2 linked regions of the Drosophila melanogaster genome follow. The protein of the gene in region 1 interacts with the protein of each later gene in a biochemical or structural test. Each region holds a gene or a part of one and is shown in the gene's direction. Other genes may lie near its edges.

Evidence for each region.
Region 2: the proteins of Jasper (region 1) and JIL-1 form a complex in vitro, tested with the Drosophila melanogaster proteins (one study listed by BioGRID).

The regions. Positions count from the first base shown.
Region 1 is NT_033777.3:30,045,670-30,058,439, forward strand, and holds Jasper (JIL-1 anchoring and stabilizing protein), read left to right. Parts: upstream 1-6,844; 5' UTR 6,845-7,129; coding exon 7,130-7,795; intron 7,796-7,874; coding exon 7,875-8,636; 3' UTR 8,637-8,677; intron 8,678-8,740; 3' UTR 8,741-9,028; downstream 9,029-12,770. Other genes in the region: RpL32 (ribosomal protein L32), read right to left, coding at 18-117, 221-252; CG7943 (uncharacterized protein), read left to right, coding at 1,421-1,974, 2,038-2,167, 2,235-2,549; CG15528 (uncharacterized protein), read right to left, coding at 3,140-3,740, 6,187-6,269; spn-A (spindle A), read right to left, coding at 9,197-10,129, 10,193-10,270; Rpp14b (ribonuclease P/MRP subunit p14 b), read left to right, coding at 10,467-10,498, 10,580-10,886; Rpp14a (ribonuclease P/MRP subunit p14 a), read left to right, coding at 11,334-11,365, 11,471-11,774; CG7950 (uncharacterized protein), read left to right, coding at 11,790-12,266.
Region 2 is NT_037436.4:11,085,939-11,098,708, reverse strand, and holds the start of JIL-1 (JIL-1 kinase), read left to right. Parts: upstream 1-5,515; 5' UTR 5,516-6,437; intron 6,438-6,852; exon of another isoform or gene 6,853-6,936; 5' UTR 6,937-7,069; coding exon 7,070-7,811; intron 7,812-12,770. Other genes in the region: APP-BP1 (beta-Amyloid precursor protein binding protein 1), read right to left, coding at 1-24; Irbp18 (inverted repeat binding protein 18 kDa), read left to right, coding at 599-709, 837-1,067; CG33947 (uncharacterized protein), read right to left, coding at 568-617, 1,648-1,696; CG46439 (uncharacterized protein), read left to right, coding at 2,660-4,216; Iyd (iodotyrosine deiodinase), read left to right, coding at 4,358-4,514, 4,570-5,276. UniProt on the Drosophila melanogaster protein: Phosphorylates 'Ser-10' of histone H3. May regulate gene expression by establishing or maintaining the structure of more open chromatin regions. Also required for normal polytene chromosome structure, for oogenesis and for viability throughout development.

The DNA.
Region 1 (12,770 bases):
TCCTCGTTGGCACTCACCGACAGCTTAGCATATCGATCCGACTGGTGGCGGATGAAGTGCTTGGTGCGCTTCTTCACGATCTTGGGCCTGTATGCTGGGCGGATGGTCATCTTGAAGCTGGAAGGACACAACAAAAGTAGCCATTAGTGCACTGACCCACTGGAAATATCACTTATCAAGCTAATAACACACAAGGTGTCCCACTAATGCATAATTCAACCAGGTTGGGCTAGCTTCTTGGGCAGTATCCATTGAGTTTCCGGTGTGTCGCCCCACGAATTCCCATCACAAACAGAAGCCATTTGGCGAACTCTCACAGGAATCGATCCGAATTCGGTCGAAATACGAGCCGCACACTTGCGAACAGCGCACGGACTAACGCAGTTCAACTCGAAACCGCCAAAAACGACAATTACGGCTTAAAATTAATGGAAATACACGTGGGCCCAAAATCACGCACATACCTTGCCGGAAACCAGAAGCGAAAAGAAAAAGCTGGTGGTGTGAAAAAACATCGATACGTCGTGCGTCGATGATTCGCCGATAGTTTCGTTCATGGCGATGCCAAGCGATATATTGCGGATCATCGTGTAATGAATTTAAACTTGGGCGCGTCAAATAAGGTGTTGCAGGTTTAATCACTATCCGAGCAACTGCGACGATTGCAACTATGTGCAACAAAATATGGAACTATTTTCAGCTTGGTGGAGTTTGTTATATAATTAAATATGCTTTGCCTCTTGACCCACTGTGCAGTGTGAACATATTTCATTTACACACTGGATGCAACAGCTGTTCAATAGATGTTTTGCAGCACCGTCATCTGATAAAAAACGATAAGAAAGCTGGGAATGAAAAAGTAAAAAGCTGACAGAAGCGATCAAGGAGCAGGTGTTCCCGAGGTTTAGGAGGCTAATACAAAAGCATCCAAGTCGTGGATTTAGAGCACCCAATGCATACCAGCACATGATAAGTTTCTGATCCATAGGGTGGTCTTTGCGTCAGTGGAACAAGTACACAGGGTGATTCGGTCAAAATAAAGTGACAGTGCTGTTAAACGCACTGCTAAGAATATTTTAATTATACGGTGTTATATTAAGTTTGTAAATTACCGAAAAGGGCGAGTACAAAACTCAAAGCCGCCGCTGCTAATTTAAGTTCGACAATTAATTTTGGTTGGCTTGTGAACAATTTGGATAACAGAGTCCTTTGGTATGCAGCAGAGGTCCAGCGACGGTCACACTGGCCGTGGCCGTCAAACCGTGGTTCTTCTTCATTATTATATAATTAAAACCGATGCGAATCGAAACCAAAACAAACCAAACCAGCGCAATCCCCGTGTTTGAATAGTTACAATGGTAACGCGGTGACAAATGCGCACTTCTCCACACGCCCGAAATAAACACAGGACAGCAGCAAGATGAAAGACGATGGAGCACCAAACGTCGCGAAAACCACCGACCCACCGCCCCCTAAAAGGTTTCCATCCGGAAGAGCACACAGCCCACATGGAGACGGGGAGGCGGGGAAACTGCTGCATGGCAGCGTCTTCTCGAAGCGCTTCTTCGGCTCCTTTCAGTGGGAGGAGTTCGCCTGCGGCTGCGGAGCAGCCTTCGTCAACATCGCGGTCACCTATCCCATCTACAAGATGATCTTCCGTCAGATGCTGCACGGCGTGCCCATCACCTCGGCCTTTGCACAGCTGCGTCACGAGGGACTGGGCTTCCTGTACCGCGGCATGCTGCCGCCGCTCGCCCAGAAGACCATATCCCTGTCCATCATGTTCGGTGTGTTCGACGGGACGAGGAGGTACCTCGTGGAGGACTACCGCCTGAACGACTACGGGGCCAAGGTGCTAGCGGCCGTGGTGGCCGGCAGCGCCGAGTCCATCCTCCTGCCCTTCGAACGGGTGCAAACCCTCCTCGCGGACTCCAAGTTCCACCAGCACTTCTCCAACACACAAAACGCATTCAGGTGAGCTGACGGATCTTTAAGTTTGCTAATGGGATCTTCTTATGGCTTTTAATCATTCCACAGGTATGTGGTTTCCCACCACGGCTACCGGGAGCTCTACAGGGGACTCGAACCAGTATTTTGGCGCAACGGCCTGTCCAACGCGTTATTTTTCGTACTGCGAGAAGAGGCCAGCGTCCGGCTGCCTAAGAGAGTGAGTGTTGACCCTATCACACATACGAACCTACTAAGATACTAACCAATCCGTTGCCCATCCACAGAAATCCGTATCCACTCGAACAGTGCAGGAGTTCATAGCGGGCGCCGTGATCGGTGCGAGCATAAGCACAATATTCTACCCGCTCAATGTGATCAAGGTGTCGCTGCAGAGTGAGATGGGCCAGAGGTCTGAGGGCAGCTGGCAGGCGTGCAAGCGAATTTACGTAGAGCGCGATCGCCGCATTGGCAACTTCTATCGCGGATGCCCCTTCAACACAGGCCGCTCCTTCATCAGCTGGGGCATCATGAATACGGCGTACGAAAACCTAAAGAAACTAATGCAGCAGCAGCCGCCGTTGCCACTGGCCTCTGAGTAGAACTAGAGTTAACTTAGCTGATTGTACACAAACGGTTACTTCTGCCTTTAGCTAGCCAATTATTTCGTTCGATTTAAGTCTCGCCTAAGTCGCTTGTGCACAGATGCTGAATTCTAGGTGTTAATGTACATACACGCATCCCAAGCGGAGGTCGCCTGCTCCTCCTACTCATATCTGTATATCTGTATACCTGTAGATCTATTCAATTCGCCTCGCGGATGCCAAGTACAATACAACGTGAGCATTTAAAGGTACCCAATCTTCGAGTTACGGTTTAGTTAGCTACTTTTCGTGTACGTGTAAATAATACTAGATGATGTGCGATATAATACGAGTGTGTTGTTTGTGTTCGCCAATAACTTTGTGATTGATTGAAGATACTACAACTGATTAATTAACGCGGTAGATTCAATGTTCTTAAACGAAAATAAAAGTGTATTTGTAATTACGAACGAGGCTTAAGCGTACATCTTATGTAAGTTTCAGCATTTCATTTCATTATCATTAAGCACACACAACTTAAACATCTAATCTAAGGCTAGTGGTAGGGTACGAGTATCACAAGTAAGATTAATTGCGGCACAACGGGCCTATCGCCTCTTGAGGGAGCTGCGGTAGCGCTGGTAGAAGTCCTCCATGGCCCTGTACTCGGGCTCCAGTATGTCGGGGATCTCCTTGTCCAGCGAGGCGAAGTACACCATGGCCACCGAGCTGCTGCCCCGCAGCTGTTGCTCGTACCGTCGCAGCTGCTGGAAGAATCCGGAGTTCGGGCGAACCTGCGGACGTATGGCCTGCACATGCTTGTAGGCCTCGCGCAAGCTCATCCCGGCGTGCTTCATTAGATAGGCCAGGCACAGGCTGGCCGAGCGGCTGACGCCGGCCACGCAGTGGATCAACGTGCAGCCGCCGGAGAGATGCACCTCCTCGATCAGATCGGCCGCCTCGTCAAAATGCTTGGCCAAGTCCACCTCGGAGCGATCCTGGGCCATGATGCGGAGATAGAGCGGGTTCTTCTGGCTGGGCAGTGGTGTGTCCGGCAGCTCGGGCGCCACGTTGATGACGCAGCTCACGCCCAGTTTGTCCATGTAGGCGGGCACCACCGCCGCGGCACCGCAAAGGATCAGCGATGGAGTGATGCGGGACAGACCGGGAAACGGCGTGTGATCCTCTAGCGTGGATGCACTCAGCTGACTGCAAGGAATCAAAGAGGGAATACTGGTGAGTTCTCATTCTTTTTCCGAACAAAAGAAAGCTTATGCAATGCGTTAAATTTACATAGCTACAAAGTTCTGGGGGGCTCTGCCAAATGGCATAAATGCGCAAATATTTGGCTGGACAACCTGGTGCACTTCAAAGTGGGTGAAAAACCCGATAAAATAAGAACATTTCGCGGGCGAACAAAGGAGCACAACTGGTGCTAAGCCAAAAACAAATGGGCCATAAACAAATGGCAGGTATTCGTGTGTGTTTTTGTGAATGGAAAAACAACCCATCCCAGCCCATCCAATCCAATCCCATTCGATCCCATCCCATCCCATCGCCTACGTATTTATGGGTCGACGTCATGGTTCTATGAGTTCGTTGCGTAGGCACAAACAATAAACATATTGCCAAAATACCTACATATAGTATATACACATATATGTATATACTATATCCAAATTTGTATCTGTACACCTCAGAAATGCTTGTTTATAATTAGTTTCGCGGAGTGTATAATAAATGGAGGCGATGTGAAAATAGCGCAGTTCTAAAATGGTATTTGGCGAATGCGTAAACAAACAGATCAGTCATCGCATAATGGGATATTAACCACTGCACCTCCGATCTTTTGGATCCAAATCCGTTTGGCTGGGAAAATCCAAGAGGTCAGTTACCTTCGATATATATAATGTAGTAAGGGATCAGCGAAGGCAGCATTGGGATTAGTCATATTTTCATATTATATCATTTCCTGACTTCCAACCTTATAATGGAAACAGAGGTCTGCCATCTGGTTTCCCTTTGCCCGCTCCATCTTCTCATCCCTTGGCACCCCCAGTCATCCAATCAAATAGAGATCAAATAGAAGGTGCCAATCCCTGCCGCCTTTCCTGCTGTCATCGCCCTCCAAAAGCTCCTGCCACTGAGGAATGTAAAATTAAGCACTCGGCTGATTTCAAAACGAATAAGTCTACACTCTTCGCTAGAAACCAAAGAAATTCGCAGAGATTTCAAAACACTCAAGTTATTGAAGTTTTTTTCAGCTGAGTTTCGAGCTGAAAATATTATATTGCATACTTCTGAACACCTGGGAGGTTACATTTCTTCCAAAATAACATCTCGAAACTACTTTATTCGAACGAGAGTATTGCCATTTTGTGTGTTGTTTCAAAATGGCTTGTTCTTTTCGGTTTTATTATATGTTTACGGCGACTCGGCGTCGTCATTAAATAATAATCACAAATTCCACTGGCACGGCGCCAAAATTAATCATCGGTCACTTTCACTAGACCAAAGAGGCAGTGGCATCGGCAGAAAATTTCTTGATTTGAAAATAAGTGAAATTAAAATATTTCACACCGCCCCCGATGTTCCGTTCGTTATTCACTTTATCGCCGAATGCAAAAATAAAGGCAAGAACAAATTGAGCTGTTTTCGAATTCCAAGTCCATTATTTATGAATTCGCCAGCGAGCGTTGGAATCCGAAATCCTTGTCTCCATTGTCCATCACATGATTGTTTTTTTTTTGTTTTCTAGGGAATCTAGGTTAATGGGCGGGATGGACGGTATTCGCTTATCTTCTGAGCCTATCCATCTAGTCATTCCCCAGTTTATCTAGAGAACTGCATGGGGTTCCAACCCACAAGATGCCTTACATCCCAGCTATGTATGAATATCCACCTCGGGGCCTCAAAATCCGCATTTTTCGACTGCCAAAACTTTGACAGACCTGCAGACAGACCTCCGTCTGCCCCTCAATGATAAATGACTAATTTCATTTTGGCAATTATGCCGTCCTTGAATTCAATTGTCAGAGTCAGGGCCACCGATAAAGAATGCGCCGAAAACTCAAGAATAATTTGTAATATTCGAATACATTGTGCAATTCAATGAAAGGCATTCAGTTCCGAATCGATTTCCGTCTTCAATTCAAATTTGGGACACTGGCGAAAAGCGGGAAATATGCTCGCATGTAAGTACATCGGAATTCAGAATGGAATTTTGCTCGAAAACGAATCGGATTTGAAAAACGCATGTGGCCAAATGTATTGCATATGCTGCTTTATGGCCAAATTTATGGAGTTTGTGCTTCCGTAAAAAGGGGGGAATTGTATTTCAATGGATATTTCAAAGCTGATTTTCAATATAAAATATAATAGGTAATAATTCTAAGGCATTGTTATGATTTTGTTTTAACACTCTATTTGCTTTATTCCGCCAGGTAAACACGACTAGCTGTTCGATTCAGGTGTGATTATTTATATAGCGAGCAAATTAGGTAGTAGGCAGCCACAAAGGTTTGTCGAGGTGACATCATGGCGACCTTGAGCAAATCTAGTGCTTAGTGTTTGTGGCTAACAAAACGGGCTCAAATGTCGACCACAAATGTTTGTACTTGGCAGCAAACTGCAAAATGTGCGTGCATTTACTCACTTCTGGCGACTTTCCTTCTCGACCGTCTCATTGGCGAAGGGAACGCCACTGATGGCGATGCCGCCGACTATTAACTCCTGCATGTTTATGGGCTCACAAATTCGCGCTGGCCACTTAGTCGGGAATTTGCGCTAAACAATAAACGAATTCCGCGGATTCCAGGCCAAAATTAAAAATTATTTTCCGCCTTGCTCGCTCTCCAACGATTCAATTCGATTCGATTCGATTCGGTAAACAAACTGAAGTTCTTTTGGGAACTCGTGGGAGAGACAACACTGTTCTTTTTGGCCAACCAACGACGACTGGCCGACGAATAGGAATGCCTTCGAAAAATGTTTTCAGTTCGAGTTGATGTGGTGAATTCGCGCGACGAGGTGCGTGCGCCAAAGGTGTTTTGTGTGGGTGCGACGAGGTGGGAATCCGGCATCGCCTGCCAACGAACTTCCACCTGTGGGAGCTGTGCCAGCGATTTTGAACTCGTAATTGGCCAATGAAATGAGCAATGCCTGCTAAATATGCCGACAATTTTAGGCTTAAAAACATTCAAAGTTACTTATAACTATAAGCTAAAGAAGATTGGGATACCAACTTGAAAAGGTATGCAGAATAGTAAGCAGTGTGTTTCACTATGTAATAAGAAACATATAAACATTTAACGAAAAACTCTTATATTTTATTGAGCTCCATCATTTTTAAATTCGAAAGCTAAAAGCCCGCCAAGCTACAGTTTCGTCGTTACCGCAAACGACCAACGCACATACGAGCACTGCTAGCGCTGGCTGGCTCTTGAGCTGGCCACACTGTCGATCGACATCGCTGTTATCGGAGCCAAGTGCCATATCTAAGAAAGCGCGAGACGAAAAGAAGAAAAGCAGACGCCGCAGAAATACGGCAAAAGATATTGGTATTGCACGCGAACCAAACGAGCTAGAAGTCAAACGAAATGGGTAAGGAAAAGGCGGCCGCCTCCTACAGCATTGGCGACCTGGTGTTCGCCAAGGTGAAGGGCTATCCGCCCTGGCCGGCCAAAATCACCAAGAGCAACAACAACAAGAAGTACAATGTTTACTTCTACGGCACGGGCGAAACGGCCAACATCAAGTTGGAGGATCTGTTCCCGTACGCCAGCAACAAGGAGCGCTTCGCCACCGAGAAGATCATGAAGCGGGCCAAGTTCATCGAGGCCATCGATCAGATCGAGAGCGCCTTGCGCGGCGAGGACTCGGCGCCCATTGATTTGCTCGACGGCGCGGAGCCAGTTGCTCCGCCCACAACTGGTGATGGCGTCAAGACGGAGGAGCCCAAGCCGGAGCCGGGACCGGAGCCAGCCACTGCTGCACCAGTCGCAGCAGCGGCCGAGAAGCCCAAGAAGAGCGGCACCCGGAAGACCAAGGCACCACCGCGCCATGTGGACGGGGATAGTGAAGCAGGCGCGGAACTAGCACCTCCGCCGGCCAAGCGAAGGGTTCCCACCGAGGGTCTGGCTACCGCCGCAGCCATCCCCGCTGCTCCGGCTGCGGCGACCCCCACCTCCAGCAAGAAATCAGTGAAGAAATCCAAGCCCACGGCTGCAGTAACTCCGATTCAGAAGCGGTCGCGGCCAGTCAATGTAAGTGCGATGCAGAAATACCACCAGACATAAACTAGTATGAATTACGATACATTGATTTCCATTTTTGCCCAAACAGAACATCCGGAACGAGATGCTCATGGTGTACATGCCCACAGCCAAGTGTTTGGGAATCGTTATAAACTACAAAAAGCCGGAGAGTTTCGAAAGCGCCGCTGCCGAGGAAGCCTGGATGGAGAACGCCCGCAAAGAAGCCTTGGAGCTCAAACTGAAACTAGAGAGCGGCCAAATCAATCCGGAGTCCATGCCCGATAGGATCGTGGTGGAGCCAACACGCAGCGAAATACCCAAGCAGGAGGCTTTGCGATTCATCGAGGAGCTCATTGAGCACGAGGATGCCCTCTTCATGGAGCGAGACTTCATCCAACTTTCCCAGCAGCTGCGCGAATGTTTGGGCCTGCGGCGCGCCAATGTGGGCAAATGCCTGGAGATCCTCGAGCAGTTCAAGGAGGTGGAGTTCACCAAGTTGATGCTGCTGCGCAATCCGGAGTGCGTGGACATAATGCGCCGACTTCGCCGGTATGTGGGCAATCTGGAGCTCTGGAAAATGGACCTGTCCGACGAGGTGGAGTTCAAGGAGAGGGCGCAGACCATACGCAAGGTCTCCTCTGGCATATACGATGGCTTCAAGAGTCTCTTCAATCCGGAGCCCGAGAGCGAGGACAACTTTTGGATCGACTTCTGCGAAAAGGTAAAAATCTACAAGACCTATACGAAAAATATCAACGAAAACCTTCGCGTCGGGATGAACGAGCGCGGATATAATAGCCTGGTTTTGGCCAAGGAGGCCGCCGCTTCAGCCGGATCGGCTCCACAGTAAATGATCGAGGACCAGTTCTGCTGGACCAATTACATGATAAGGTAGGATGGGAAACCGCAAACCGCTGAGTTGAAACACATCTTCAAGAATCCTCTTTCTTGCAGTTACTCGTAAGCGTTACAAACCAGGCAACTTAAAGACCGTGCTTTGGATGACAAAGTTTTGATGAGCCAAGTGGGCTATGCTTAATTCTAGGTTAAAAATTCAGCTAAATTCCTTAATTCTGTTTGCCTGCCAGGTGCATGTCGTGTTACGCTGCGCTGATGGGGCTTTTCCTGCTGCATCCGCTTATTACCAGACTAAAAAAAAGGTTTTTGCTTCGAAACCCCTAAATATTTTCTAAGTTTGTAGATGATTTGAATAATATTGAATTAAATATAGATGGTACATACAATTCGCAACGGCTGTTTTATTTCGTCGTTATCCTAAACATTCTAAGTAAACATTAAAACAAAAAAAAAAACAATCTACGAAGTTTAATTCTTAGTCTAGGGATAAGTAATCATTAGAAAGTTAGGGAGCTCTATTCCTAGCATTAATTAACCTATAAGTGAGCACAATTAGCTCTCCCTGGCGTCTCCTATTCCATCCGGCAGAATGGCGAACATGGCCTCCGATTCCGGCAAACAGGGCGAGTCGTAGATCTTGCAGATGCGGGTTTCGCCTTTACCCTTGCGCAGATACAGCCGCGTGGTTGAGGAGTGGGCCATGATGTGCCCGCCAATGGGCTTCTTGGCATCAAACATGCCGGGTGCGCCGTCCAGCGAGGCAGTAACCTGGTTAGTAATTACCACAGCCACTCCGAACTCATCGGCCAGGCGTTGAAGCATGCGCAGAAATAAGCCCAAATGGTTTTGCCTGGCGGCCAGCTCCCCGCGACCAATATAATCGGATCTGTAGAGCGCCATGGCACTGTCCACAATCAGCAAAGCGTATCTGGACTCAAAGAGCATGCCCGCCGCCATCTGGATGAGCTTGGTCTGCTGATCTGAGTTGTGGGCACGGGTGAAGGCCACATTGTCCAGCACCTCGGATTCATTCAGTTTGTACCTTTGCGCGATGGCAGCCAAACGCTCCGGACGGAAGGTGTTCTCCGTGTCGATGTACATGCACTTGCCCTCGCCGCCCTTCTGGCTGATGGGCAGCTGGCAGGTTACTGCCAGAGTGTGGCACAATTGGGTCTTTCCGCAGCGGAACTCGCCAAAGATCTCGGTAATGGATCCCGTCTCAATGCCGCCGCCCAGCAGTTTATCCAGCTCCTTGGAGCCCGTGCTCAGCTGCACGACATCGGCACGCATTTGATAGAAGGTGCGAGCACTAAGGAAGCCCAGAGGCACCAGTTTGTTAGCCTCCGTGATGATCTGCTCCACCTTGCCGCCGCCCAAGCCGGGAATGGCCATCAGTTGCTTCTTGGTGGCATTGGCCACCGACTCCACGGTGTGCAGACTGGCCTGCTGGAGCAGCTTGATGTCCTTGGCCGTGATGCTGCCGCCCTAGGAGGAGGATATCGTAGGGAATGCCCATAATAATCCTGGTCGAGATCGCAGCCTACTCACTATTAACTTAGTCACGCTGAGTGGACCTTCTTCCTCCTCCTCTTCCTGCTGTGCCTGAACATTCGTTAGCTTCTCCATTTGACAGTTTCGAAGTTAAATTTGACTATTTGTTGTTTCGAGTTTCGTTATTTAAATTGCACGTCTTGCGTGAGAGAATTTCGACAAAGACTGCGCGGCGCGCAATTCACTGCAAAATCAGTTTGCCAATCGCCCCGAACGCACAAAACTCTATCACTACAGAGGATCCCGCTTAAAAGGAACGCGCAAGATCACCATGGCGAACTATTACTATTTCGACATCAAACTGTGAGTAGAATGATGTTCTGCGGTCATTAATATAAACTTGGTTGTTATTAAATTCAGTAAATATATTCATTTATTTAATAGTAAACTTCGGGATCCGACTGCAGTTGCTTTGACCCCATCTCTGTTTCGAAGCTGCGTTCTTGACGCCCTGGACAGTTTCTTCTGCGAGGAGAAACCCACACTGGAGATCGTGAAGTTCTGCGCCCAGCAACATCGTGTTATCTTTCGAGTGCCAGAGCAACTGCACGACATGACCCGCATATCCATTGAGCTCATCGGTCACTACCAGCAGATACCCTGTCATTTTGAGATCTTGGAAACATCCAAATCATCGCTGGACTTTGAGAAGAGCATTGAAAAGACTGTCGCGGTTGTGTCCGATGATTAGGACTAGCGAATTGTAATACTCAGTGTAATATACATTATAACCGTCATGAAGAATTTGAATTTGAATCCTAACTGATTTTACTGTGATCTGATTTTTTTGTCATTCACAACGAACTGAAATGATTTCTGTGATGGCTACTAAATGAGATTAAAAAGCGGAAAAACCCCATAAACTTGTAACCATTTTAATAAAATTGCATTTAAGTAGTTCCAATAACAATTTAAATGTTTTAATAAATGGCTATAATTTTAGCTATTTTATAACTACTCATGTCCGTTGTGAGCCGAGCTGGCATCTCTGGCGGCGCACAGCTGTTTGAGAAGCAGAAAGAAACAGCAAAAAAGGGGAGTAATTACATAAAAAAAACACACTGACCGGCAACTTTTGGACGACTTTTCCCGAAGATTCCGCCAAAAAAAGAGGGGCACTGGCACTTGCACCCAAAGCATGAGTGGTTACCAATATCTGGACGTGAAGATGTGAGTTCCGGGCACTCAGCCCCGCTCCTTAAAGCCCCGTATTTCCCACGTGCGCACGTGCATCATGCAAATATAATTAAGATAATTCACGTTTTTAATCGCCAGAAAACTCCGTGATCCAGACTCCGTGACTCTGACGCCCGTATTCTTCTGTGGCTGCATCCATAGCTCCTTGGCTAGTATTTTTGGCGAAATAGGTGGCCAGACCATACTGGAAATTGTGAAATTTAGTTCCAGCCAAAAACGCTCCATTCTCCGGGTGCCCGAGAACGTCCTGGATCGCGTTCGCGTAGCTATAGCCCTAATAGGATACTACCAGGAGGTGCCCTGCCATTTTCAGGTGCTCAGCACATCCCGAAAGCCCTTGGATTTTGAGGAATCCCCCGAGGAGTTTGTAGCATTTAACTAGCATTACCGCATCAGGATGTCATTCTCTTACTGCAAGGAGTACGGCAAGGACAAGGTGATTTTTGTGACCAAGGAGGACCATGCCACGCCCAGCACCATCGAGCTGCCGCCGCCGGAAAAGCCGGAGGGCGTGATCACCAAGGACGGCAAGATCAACTGGAGTTGTCCCTGCCTCGGCGGCATGGCCACCGGTCCCTGTGGCGTCGATTTCCGTGAGGCATTTTCCTGCTTCCAGAACAGCACCGCCGATCCCAAGGGATCGGACTGCTACGATGCCTTCACCAAGATGCGCGACTGTTTCCAGAAGTACCCCACCGTGTACAACAAATCTGGCGGTGATGACGACGACGATGATGGCTTGAGCGAGGCCTTGGACACGGATGCCGGTTCAGTTGGTGGCCAGAACGCGGATCCGCTGGCGGATGTGGGCAACAACGGAGGCGGCGATGAGCTGGTGTCCCCCAATAGCAGTTCAGTGGTGCCCAAGGCTTAGGTGGGAGTACATAAGATAAGAGCTAGGTGTGACTTCGTACAAAATAAATAAAACTTGTCATTAACTTCAATCCATCCCCACACTATCGATCGTGACTGGGAAACATTTATCAGCCAGATAGTCTGGAATTAACAGAGATATTGTTGAAACAGCATAGTGCTTATTTCAGAAATAAAAGATACTCGTTTTCTCAATTAAATTCTCGCTTTTTTTACAAATAGCGAAATACACAAATAAAAAAATGTAAATGTATCTTGTATTCACTGTAGCCAATAGGCCGTTATTTCCATATGTTGTGTATTTCTGGTATATACTCGAAGCGCTCCCACCTCGTTGGCAGTATTTTTCCACCCTGCTGCCACACTGTTTACGAAGCAGCAATCAAAGAAAACGGAAAAATAAAAGCGTATTAAGATTTCGTGTGGAAAGGAAAAATGCTGTAGGCGCAGTGTAAAATGCATATATTGCGGATAAATCGCGTTTGTGAGATGCTTAAACGCGAAT
Region 2 (12,770 bases), on another chromosome or scaffold:
CGATTTGGGGGCTGGCGAGGACATTTCACTAGATTTTTGTGCAATAATAAGCCGGTTGCAAATAATCCAGTACTGTAAAGCGCCGGCAGCCAATACTTCTGACACAATTTGTTTATTGGGTGGAGTGTTGGAAAAAACACGTTGGTAATTTTAACTGTTGCTTATTTAAAACATTTATTGACTATTACGTATTACATTTCATTTAATTTTATTGCATTAAACTACATCTACGTACAAGCAATCAGTCTTTACAAATAAAATGTATAAACAGTTGAGAAATTAAAAAGTGAAAGTCTGAGCAAACCAAATAAAGTGTCTGGTTGACAGTTTTTGAATAGCATTCCATGGCTATGGTTTTGGGTGAGTTTTAATATTGATTTTCAACATGCAATTAATTTAATTAAATAATACCGCTAACTGTTTGTTGGCTGGGCAGTGTAGGCAGCGCATTTTGCAACACTGGGAGGGCTAATGAACAGCTGTTTTATCGTGTAATTTCACAACAAAACAACGCATACATCGCTGTGTTTTCTTCTGCATTTCCGTCCGATTGCGATCCAATTTGAACTAAATAAATATCAGTATTATCACGGAGATAATGCCGGCCAAAAAGAGAACTGCCGCGTCGACCAGCAAAAATAGCGATTCGCCATTAAGTCCGCACACAGACGATCCAGCGTACAAAGAAAAAAGAAAGAAAAACAATGAGGTAAGTTTAAGAGTTTTGGATGTAAACAGAGAGCAAAGATTGGGAAACATGTTGCTGTGGCGCCGTGGCCCCCAGAAGTCCCCAAAAATAGATGCCCACTATTGATTTATTACTATTCTCGGAACAGGCTGTTCAGCGCACACGCGAAAAGACCAAGAAATCGGCCGAGGAACGTAAGAAACGCATCGATGATTTGAGGAAGCAAAACGATGCTCTTAAGGTTCAGATCGAGACGAGTGAAAAACATATATCTACGCTTAGAGATCTGATCATTCAGGGTGAGAAAACGGAGGACGGCCATCGAATCATCCAGGAGATTCTCGCTGAACCAGATCCCGATCCCAAGGACAATGACTAACGAGGAGCTTCTCCTGATTTACCTTCTTATATTTTCATACTTTTAAGCCATTTCCCATGGTTGTTAACCATGTGTATCATCTTAGTTTTTCGATTAAAATGGTGCAATTGCTCGAATTCTATTACAAAGACAAGCACTCATGCAGACGAGAACAGTGTTTGTTAAAATCCTACATAAATGGTTTTCATTATTGGTGAGTTTTTATCATTTCTCACCAAATACTTGTTTTTGTTGTACTTTTCTTTTACTTTTGTTTATATTGTAACACTTAATCACTGTATCCATGTTGCACTGAATCTAAATTTTAAAATTATCTATATTTAGTAATAGTGATTTCTATTATTTTCGACATGATTCATACAGCTAAAATCATGCGAGTCTTGAATCAAATAAAGTGTCTATTATGATTTTACCCATATCAGTGTTATTTTATACCCAATACTTCAGCTGTTTACAACTACTACTACTATTATTATTTCCTTGAAAGTTGATGAACTCATTAATCAGAAATACAACCCAGATTCCATCATATACATATGTTCTACGTTTAAGTAGAACTTCCGGCAAATTAGATACTAACCGTCGTAAACGTCCAATTTCTCCATGTGTAGGCTAAAGACCTCGTCCATTTTCCGAGATATGAACATATGAACTAAAACTATAGCTATTGAGAAAGTGTCGTTGTGCCGATAGGTTTTTGGTTTCGGGTGTCCCGTTAGGTCTTGCTCTCTTTGCTTTTGTTGTGGGCGCTCCTTCCGTCTTCTTCTTTCAAACACTCACAAAAACATTGATTTACTGCACTTTTCGCACATTCATTTGATGCACAACTCGACGGCGATTTGATTTGGCGGGTGGTTGGTTTCGTGTCGAAATGGAAGTTGGATTGTGGGGCTTTTTTCGCGTTCAATAAATTGCCGTCTTCCGCTAATTAGCACCACCCGCACACTGATTCCGATTCAATATCAATTTGAAGTTGCTCACATGGCACGAGGCGAAATAAACTGAAATGTGTTTTCAGTTTTTACAGCGTTGCTTTGTTGTATTTGGCTGGTCGGCAGCTGAACGTGTATTTCCTTATTTTTTATTTATAATTTCACGTAACTTTATTTTGGTTGTTTTGGCCGCTCTCGCTCGCTCTTTTACTGCACGGCCTTGCTCTCGCTTTTTTCTCTCGCGCAGTGTTGCAAAGTTTTCAGCGAGGAACAGCTGATTCAGTATTTCGTTAAAAACCGTTAAAAAGCGTGGTTGTTTTGAAATTGTTGAAATTCTTGAAAATTTTTTTTTATCTTGTTTATGTTCTTATATTAAAATCCTGGTCAGACTTATATTTTAAATATTAAGTTAATCATATTGTCTATGAAATTTGCAAAAATTGGTATATAATTCCAAGCATTTGAAAAAACTTCACAGTGACACTTACATTCACCCCAAAAAAAGTAAAAAAAAAATAGTCAGGATTACAAAAGTTATATTTCCAGATAATGGTACAAAATTTTTTCGATTTATAATGCTGTTGCCATTAAAGAACCCAAAGACCGTTGAAAGCGAGGTGAACCCGAATGTGACGCTACTGAAGCGCCAGATCGCCGAGGATGGAACCAAAACACAGGCACTGTTACTTCAAGCGTTCCGCTTCGAGTTGCCTAGTGACGCCAATGCATCTCCACTCCTCCAGGATCAGTTCCAGCCACAGTCAGTCAGCAGGAGGCATTAAGCCCGCTTTGGCATCACTAGATCCACCTAAAACACCCAATAGCATCGAGAAAACAAAGAAATCCGGGGGATTTCTCTCTTTTTTGTTTGGCAAACGAGACAGGCGGGCGAGGAATCAGAGTGAGACAAATGGAAACCATATCTCATTGGAGGATCATGATGTCAGGAAGCTTATACGTCTCTATAGCAAGCATAATAGCCTTTACAACCGCCATAATCGCTACTATGGTAACAAAGATATCGACGATGACTGCTACAACAGAATGGTGCGCTCATTTCCGGGAAGAAGCGTCTCGGAACTGAGATCCTGTCTGGAGGAGCTAAGGACGCTCTTTGAGCGGGAATACACCATTATCGAACGTGCTCGAAGGAAGTGTGGAGAGATAATGAGTCCTTCAATTCGCTACTATAATGAATTTCTTTTCCTGGTGCCACATCTTAATATACACTTCGACAAGGATCTTCCTGCCAGTGGAACTAGCCCACTCGCCGCCGGAAAACTTTTGCAAAATCCGATAGCCAACCCAGAGATGTTGTGCCAAAAGTTGACCAATTTCACGGATTTTCCTCTGGCCGGTTTTCCCGGCAATCTACTAACCAAGAGGCCCAAAAAAGACCCCCAAGACCGGCCAAACAAGAAGATCAAACCAATTCCTGATCAAGAAAATGCGAAGCAAGAAAATCCCATAGAGCAGGAAATTCAGGAGGCAGAAAAAGTCGCTGATCATGAAGTTTCGGTAGAAGAGAAAATCAGCGGGTTGGAGGATCAGGAACAGAAAGACGCACTCTCTCCATCGGAGCAGAAGAACATACAAAACAGTAAGGATAAAACCAGTCATCATCATTCCAATTGCAAGATGTCCAGCCATGAGAAGGATTTAGTATCCACCAATTTGACCTGTCCCTGCAAGCCGGAAGTGGAATCCTCACAAAGCCCAGTTTCCTGCCCCTGGATAGCCGAAAATTCAAAGTGTGAACCCCCGTGTCGGGAAACACCACCACAATCTACGCGAAATTCCGTATCCAGTCCGCAAAATTCAGATATTTCTGAATCCAGCAAAGAACCGGCTCACTTGATGGAGAAGGAACCATCCGGTCAGGAATCCGCGAATAGCCAGCAAGTGCAGATGCTTTGCGATATGATACGTACCGAGCTAACCACTGCTCCCGATTTTATATTCTTCGATGCCAAGTGGCGGATCATCGAGATTCTGAGAGAGGTGCACAAGCGCCAATTGGTTCACCAGAAGGCCATTCCACTCAACAATACACGCCGACCGATTCCGCCGCAAAAACGAAAACCGGGTGAGCCCAATCAGATGCTTAAGAATCCAAAATGCATGTCGGATAGGAGTGCCCACGAAAAGGGACAACAGAGGATGTGCGAGCATCACAAGGGCAGCCATTGCACCTACTGCTGCCGGAACAACAACTGAAGTGGAAACCAAAACCCATCCACCAGCATCCATCGCTATCAGCAATAGCCGTGACCCACTTAACCAAGTGATAAGCCAATCCGAGCGCAAAAGCAAAGCCACTTTCTCTCCGTCGCAAAAGCAGTTACATCTTGAAGCACCATGGATGTGGACGAACTGATCAGCAGCTCCAAGCTACTCAAGCATTGGCCAAGTTTATTTATCACTCTGGCGCTGATATGGATCGTAAAAAGATTGTTTTTTAAAGGGAATCGCGTATTAAAAACATATAATTTAGATGAACAAGTCGAGGAGGAGGGTAAGTTTTAAGATTATCCACGGTGAACATAAAGCTATTCTATTCTATTTTCCAGTTGAACACTTTGCCGATCTTGGCGATGAACTGCAACCGGCTCTGGAGGATAAGCCCCATGTGCCCTTCGTTCCCGGCCAGAATCTCAACCCTAATGGAGCCAAACGCTTATATGAACTCATGCGTGGACGCCGTAGCATTCGCTCCTTTAATAGCCATCCCAAACCGGATCTCAGCGTGATAGAGGACTGCATTCGGGCGGCGGGAACAGCTCCCAGTGGCGCACACACAGAACCCTGGACGTACTGCGTCGTACAGGAGCCGGAACTCAAGCGATCCATTCGGGAAATTGTGGAACAGGAGGAGCTGGTCAACTACAGCCAGAGGATGCATCCGCAGTGGGTCACCGATCTGCGACCCCTGCAAACCAATCATGTCAAGGAGTATCTCACCGAGGCGCCGTACCTTATACTGATCTTCAAGCAGACCTATGGATTGTCGGAGAATGGAAAGCGAATGAGGAGGCATTACTACAACGAGATATCCACTTCGATTGCGGCCGGTATCCTTTTGTGTGCCCTTCAAGCGGCAGGACTCGCATCGCTGGTCACCACTCCTTTGAACTGCGGTCCAGCCTTGAGAAACCTGCTCGGGCGACCCGTCAATGAAAAATTACTCATCCTACTGCCCGTTGGTTATCCGAAAGATGGATGCACAGTTCCCGACTTGGCGAGAAAGAATTTGTCAAATATTATGGTTACTTTTTAAGGTTTATTTACGTCCGTGCAGCTTACGAAATAGTTCAATAAAACCAAACTAAAATTTATGGTAATTCTTATATTTTTTCTATTGATAAACGAAATTTTCACATTTTCCTTAAATTTATTCTTCATTATAATTGTTAATCAAAATATAATATTCTTAAATATTTGAAACGATAGTCTCCACCATCCCTGCCAACCGATATACGGCTGCTTTCCAGCACCACGCTTTTTGGCCTCTTGTCAACACTATCGATAACGATAGCTACGGTAAGTGACACAAAAGCAAAGGGAAAATTTCTACGTGCGGTTCGTGTGCTGTGTGTTGAAATTACAAATAGCCAATTATCCGGCATTAATCGTTTTAGGGCTCTCTCGATTTTAATTGTATTATATTGTACTATAATACAGATATAAACCCGATTTGATCGAGTGTAACGGAAATCGACGCGATTCCCATCAAGGTGGTCCGTACCTAATAAGTGTTCACGAATGAGAGCAAAGCAGATGGCGGAGAGCGTCCTGCGTTTCAATGTGTGTGTGCGTAAACGAGTAGAAAGCGGCGGTAAAAACCTTCTCGTGTAACACAAAACAAATTATACAAAACATTCAATCTCAATATCAAAACGTTACTGTATTGTCTATTGAAAAACAAGTACAAGCGTACGCAGGGAAATTGGAAAATCCATTGAAAATCGAGAGCAACAGTCGCCGGAGCGGAATCAGCGGACGAAAACAAAAACGCTTTAAAAACGCAGCCGATACAGAAAGTGCCAGCGTGTGAGTGTGCATATGTGTACGTAGTTGTGGGCAAAGAGAACGGTAAAGAATAAGAAATCGAAAAAAAAAAATAAAAAACTAACTGTGGAAGTGAAAAATGCGCGACTGATAAAGATTGTGATAATCACGGCATAATATAACAAGCAAAAAAGAAGAATGAAAAGAAACCGCAACCGAATTGGTTGAATAATATTTAAGCCAACGCCAGTGCTGCATAAATCGGTGCACATTATCATTGGAACGTTCAGTGTTGCACATCGCTACCGCCCCACGCATAATCCAACACTCTTCCCCCTCCCCATCCAGATCCACCCACTCACACACACACACACTCCGATTCGGATTTCTTCGTCTGCATTATAATATTGCGCTTATAATCTTTCGCGAGGTGAGTCGAACTCCCAAATAGTGTTCTATTCAGAAATGAGTTTCCCCATCCAATTGTCCGCTAACAGCGGGAAAATTACTCCCGCCTGCGTTGAAACTGTACCATATTGTGGATGAAGAAATGGGATAGAAATGGGCAATGGGCATTGGGAAGGTACGGTGAAGATTGCCTAAATAGAACACAATAAGAAACAGCTATGTTCAAAACATCTTGCGGAATAAATTTCAACAATTCAGTTATTATTTATTTAGTATTTAAAATGTGTGAACTGGAACATTTATATCGTACATGTTGTCTATGCATTGTTGAACATCCATGAATAGAAAAAACTAATTCAGTTTCTAATTAAAAATACTACAACAATAAAACAGTCTAGCTAGCCAAAATGACAACTTTATGTCAGTACTCATATAAGAATGTGTCAAAAAGTTTAATGATTGTCTACAAATTGTTAGCGATTTTCGAAAAAATGTCTTTACTTTGATTTCTGTTTTTCCAGCTCAACGATGCGCCACGATCAGTCCCTGGACCTTTTTATTTTTATTTGTTAATTCCTGGAATATCCATCGATTACGTGAGGAGCACGTAGAGCATTATTAAAGGCATAGGATCTTTTACGGAAGAATCTAGCCATGAGTCGCTTGCAAAAGCAAAACTACGAGATCTTAAGCGGTACAAGTACGTCGCGCCTCAAGAATCATCAACATCCCCGTGAATCGGAGTCACTAGCCTACGAGGAGCCAGATCAAATGGTGCGGAATCATCTAAATGGCCAGCTGGTAGCCAATGGCAATGGCAAAACGCGAAAGAATAGCAATTCCGAAACGATGACCAATGGGAAAAAGTCCAAACTGAATACGGAGGGATCCGGCTCTGGTTCTGGAAAGACCTTGAACTACAATAATAATAACAATAACAACAACAGCATCAGTGCCACCAACGGTCAGTACACCAATAGCAGCAGCAAGACCACTTCAGCATCTGCAAGGGATTACACTTACCGCGAGACCATATCACCGCCCACACCTCCATCCCCGCCCACCACAAATGTGGCGGATATTGTTTGCATATCGGATGCGGAGAGCGAGGACGGACGCGATCCCGAGCGGGAGTACTACGACCAGGACATGGAGGAGGATGAGCCGAACGGGATAGAGATCGATGAATCCAGCTCCAGCTTGTCCAAGGCCAAGTCCAACAATGCAGCTGCAGCGGCGGCGGCGGCGGCTGCAGCAGCGGCAGCAGCAGCCTCGAAGGCCTCCTCGTCGACCACGCCCTCCTACGCCATGCCCACCAGCAATAGTACACCCCTTGATCTGGACAATGAGGCCCATCAACGGGACCTGGAGGCGGTCACCGATCTGAAATACTACGGTGAGTCATTCCACTCAATGATAGTGATAAAGAAGACCGGGCCAACTGCAAGCACAAGCTAGATAAGAAAATTTGTTACAAGTTGCAGGTCAGGATGTACTTATGTTAAATATGATAGTTTAATAATTCCGTCCATATCAAATTAAACCGCAACTTCTTCCCTGTGAATATTTCATGCCATTTTAAGGCAGCTGCCACAGAGCTTATCAAACATGGTAGTGTGGTGGAATAATTGATAACTTTAACCGGGTGGATGTCTCAAGGTTTTATTGAAATGTCGGCAGAGGGTGGCTGGTCAATGCCAGATGAAGTGCCGTCTCTATCGTTCTTTGTTAAAGTGGAGCACATGCATTTAACCTTGACACGATTACCCAGAAAACTCAACCCGGCTTTGTTCGCTCTTTGGGCCAAATCCAAAACTACTGACCTCCCCTGAAATCGCCCAACCTCGCCGTACTCACCTCTCACCACACTCTACATACATATACACAAAGCAGACAGAATATCCACCACCCAAATGTCTAATTTGATAACCGTGGGTCGAAAACCTATTGTTGCTGCTTGTTATTTGTTAAATTTGACACTTTTCGGTTGCATTTTTAAATAAATATTATTTACTGAGGACATTGGTCTGGATTTTGGTGTGGAAAGTAACACCTTTTTGAAGTAAACGTTTTTGTCAAGAGGTTTTCACAACAGCTGTTTATAAATCGAATAAAATAAATCTAGATAAAAACTAAACCTTCTCTAGTTTCGATTAAAATTCAATTCATCAAAGTTTCTATCTATCTCGATAATTAAGATGTAGTATTATTTCTTAAATAGTTCTTATATCTGGCTTATATCTTTCATAATATCATATGGAACCACTGTGCCACTTTTCGTCATCGCCGTGCAGTCGTGACCATGTCAGTTGTTTGTACAAATGTGCGTGCAACGCTGTTTGCGAGCGTTTGCTGTACTCACAAACATGCTTGTTTGCATAAACGGTTGGTTGTTGTTTCTAGGCAATTTATTTACTTGAACTTGGCAATGCAACTTGCCAAGCATAGATACATATGTATGTATGTAGGTATGTACATAAAGATAGGGCAACGAGTTAGCCTCCTGGATAATTGCCTTCAAATTGATAGGTGAGCTGTGTTTGTTGTTTGCTGTTAATTATCACAAGAACATCGTCACGGCAACGGGTGCTGCTAGAATGGTGGGGGAGGGGAGGGGTGAGTTGTATCATTAACCCCACCCTTTTGTAAATTAACAATAATAATTACACAATGCACAGAGAAAAATACAGATTGGTTCTCAAGTAAAGTTAGCAAAATCTTTTAAAATATTATGTCCAATTGTTGTCTTATAACGAATTAATTAAAACTGCATTCAAATGTATTGTTACATTTCATTTTTATCTGTGTAGTTTTCACCCCTTTCACTTTTTAATCAGTAAAATCGATATCCTCGTACAGTACAGTACCGCTAGCACATTATAAACATTACTTTTAAGTGGGGTAAACATTTCTTATGCGACAATTTACACTTGACAATGAGAAGTAAAAATAGAAAATCGAAATTGTTGCTATCAGAACGTTCTCAACTTGTTGCGGTTTTCATATTATTATTCATATTCTTTCGGTCTGCGTTCATTAAACTTTGCCTAGTCATTTTTTTTTTGGTCTGTTATTCAGTTTAAGAACCTGGCCAGAGTATATAATGCATATCAAGGCCAATTTATTTGCTCGACGTCGTCGTCACACGCTTTCAAACAGGTCGTCTTAAAAATACAAAAGAAAATTCGCACTTGCTTTAAATAATGACTAAAATATTCAATTTCCATTTGATATCCGAAAAAATACAAAAAGTAGCAATATACAAGGGTTTTTCCGCGACAGGTCGCCACCACTTTGCAACATCTTTCCAGTTTTTCTTGTTGAATCAATAATTCCGGCGAAAAGTTGCCACCCACTCGAAAAAGTCCTGGGTTCGATGCACCCTTAAAGAATTTCGGCACGCGTCATTCCGTGCGTTTGGCTGCTTGTTTTTCGCAAATTACATATACAGTTTGTCAAGAAACTGTTTACACACTGTGAAATAAGTTGAATTTTTGACTTTAAAGCTAAAAATAAAGGGTTTTTTGCTTAATTAAACGCAATTTTTTTATAAAATATAATTAAACAATATTTATTTTACTTATAAATCAAAAAACAAATTAAAAATATTAAATATACAAGAAAATAAACAACAAATTCCAAGTTTACACACTTTTGAGACTGTCAAGAAACTCTTTACACATTTTGTTTTCCTACTTTGTTTTGTTCTTTTTCTTAGAACGAACTCGATTTTTCCGTTATTTTTGGCTTTGCATTGCTTTTTACAACGCTTCTATTGAAATTTTGTTGACTTTGCTTGTGAAATTTTGCTGATCAAACGTGCTTAAAGCGAATTATTAAATTTAATAAAATGCCTGGAAAGAGATTAACTTTTGAAGTTACCCAATTAATAAACTATAACCACCAGTTGGGAAAATCTTTTCCAGAATTAGTATAAATGTTTCCTGTATCCCGTAAGACCGTCTACAATGTTTTAAAAGGCTCGGAAAAAGAGGGCAGGCTTGAACCTAAGAGCGGTGGTGGGCGGAAAATTAAAATTAAAAAGCGTGTAGACCGCTTTATTATGCGAATAGTGATTGCGAACCCCCGAATCTCGGTCAGATCACTTGCTCTGGATATCAGGCAAGAATGCCACCTAACTGTGTCACACGAAACTGTGCGCCAAGTCATCCTACGCCATAGGTACTCTTCAAGATTTGCAAGGAAAAACCCTTTGCTATCAGATGCCAATATGGAAAAGCGTCATTAATTCGCTGTGAGCATGATGGATCATGCGGAAGAGTACTGGGATGACGTCATATTTTGTGACGAAACAAAAATGATGCTCTTTTATAACGACGGGCCAAGCAGAGTATGGCGCAAACCGTTGAGTGCGCTAGAAAAACAAAATATCATTCCAACGATAAAATTTGGAAAAATGTCACTGATGGTTTGGGGCTGTATCACCAGCCGTGGAGTGGGAAAACTAGCCTTAATTGAGAGCACAATAACTGCCGTGCAATATCTAGAAATGTTAAAAAACAAATTTGAAGGCCAGTGCAGAAAAATTCGGTCTAGTTAGCAACAACAAGCCAAATCTTAAGTTTTACCAGGACATGATCAGAAACATAAAGAGTGCAATGTACGCACCTGGCGCCTTAATAACTGTGGTAAAGTGATCGATACGCCCCCTCAGAGTCCTGATCTGAACCCCATTGAAAATTTGTGGACCTACTTAAAGAAGAAGGTGGCAAAAAGGGACCTAAAACACAACAACAGCTTATGACTGTAATAGTCGAAGAGTGTGAAAAGATCCCGTTTGAATATGACCTGCAAAAACTTGTCCAATCCATGAAAAAAAGGCTTCAACTTGTAGCTAAAGCCAATGGGGAACATACTACATACCAAAACTTTTAAAATTTTAATAAAATAATTAAAAAATTTAGGATTAAACTTCGATTTAGTGTTTTGTGTAAAGAGTTTCTTGACAGTCTCAAAAGTGTGTAAACTTGGAATTTGTTGTTTATTTTCTTGTATATTTAATATTTTTAATTTGTTTTTTGATTTATAAGTAAAATAAATATTGTTTAATTATATTTTATAAAAAAATTGCGTTTAATTAAGCAAAAAACCCTTTATTTTTAGCTTTAAAGTCAAAAATTCAACTTATTTCACAGTGTGTAAACAGTTTCTTGACAAACTGTATTTGCTGTTAGCAAGTTGTATTTGCAAAAAATAATACAACAGGTTCGGTCGAGCAGGCTCAACTCTCGATACCAACAACCCCTGCTGAAGTTTTGTGTCAATGTTTCTTGATTTCACAACAACGCTAAATTTTGACAGCTCCCGTTGCACGCGGGTTGAATTAAGATTGTAATAATAGTAGTACAAATGTTACAGACGCGCTCTGAATAAGGTCCTTCGGGGTTCAAGGACACATTCGCCAGCTGCTGTGGCTAGGAATATTTCGCAACAAACTTCACATTAATATTCGTCACATATTCAGACGTTTTGGAACGGGATGAATGGTGGTGGTCTTACGTCGGGTTGACTGACTCATTTGCCAAAATGCGGAGGTTGAGGATGATGTTTGCTTCAACGAATTGGTCATTTGGGAACGCTTTATTTAATGTCAAAGCTAATTGAATTACAGCGGTCACAGGCTTTTCGATTGAGCTGAATAATTGCGGTTATTAAATTGAATGGCAGATCAGGTGAATGCCTTCAAGGAGCAACCTTCTCTGAGGGTAAATTGGAAAGGCATCACTTTCAATCACGTCTGCACATTTTAATGGAAAAGTTTATAAAGTGAATTTAAACTAAAATTATGGGTTGCAAATGTTGTTATAATTATAACAGCCCAGTAATTCATATTGTTTTACTTATTAGATATTAAGAAGCTTCACTTTTAATGCCTGCAAATGCCTCAAACTTTGTCTGCTTCGTGCAATAATCGTAAACAGTGCAATCTTTGGGCCAGACATTTGGGCCAGTGAACTGTTATTGCTTGTGGCACATGCCCCCTAAGAAGCCTGAAATATATGTATGTCTAGAGAAAAGTTCCTCTCCCCCCTTTGGCAGAGTTCCTTGACGTGTCCTTGGTCCGTGAATAATACACACAGGCTGTGGTCAACAAAGTTTCTGTTAGACCAGCATTTCCATGGAATTATAAGCTCATAATGCTACATATCACATACATATGTATGTATGTACATAGGTAGTCTGATAATCATTGTAGGGTAGCATTTTCCACTTGCCCGCTTTCGCCTGCGAACAAGAGCGAATCAAGTGTCTGGCACGTGCTGCGCTGGCGATAAAAATAAAATGTGATAATTCGTTTCACATGTGGTTAAGTAAACAATGCGAAGAACTATTT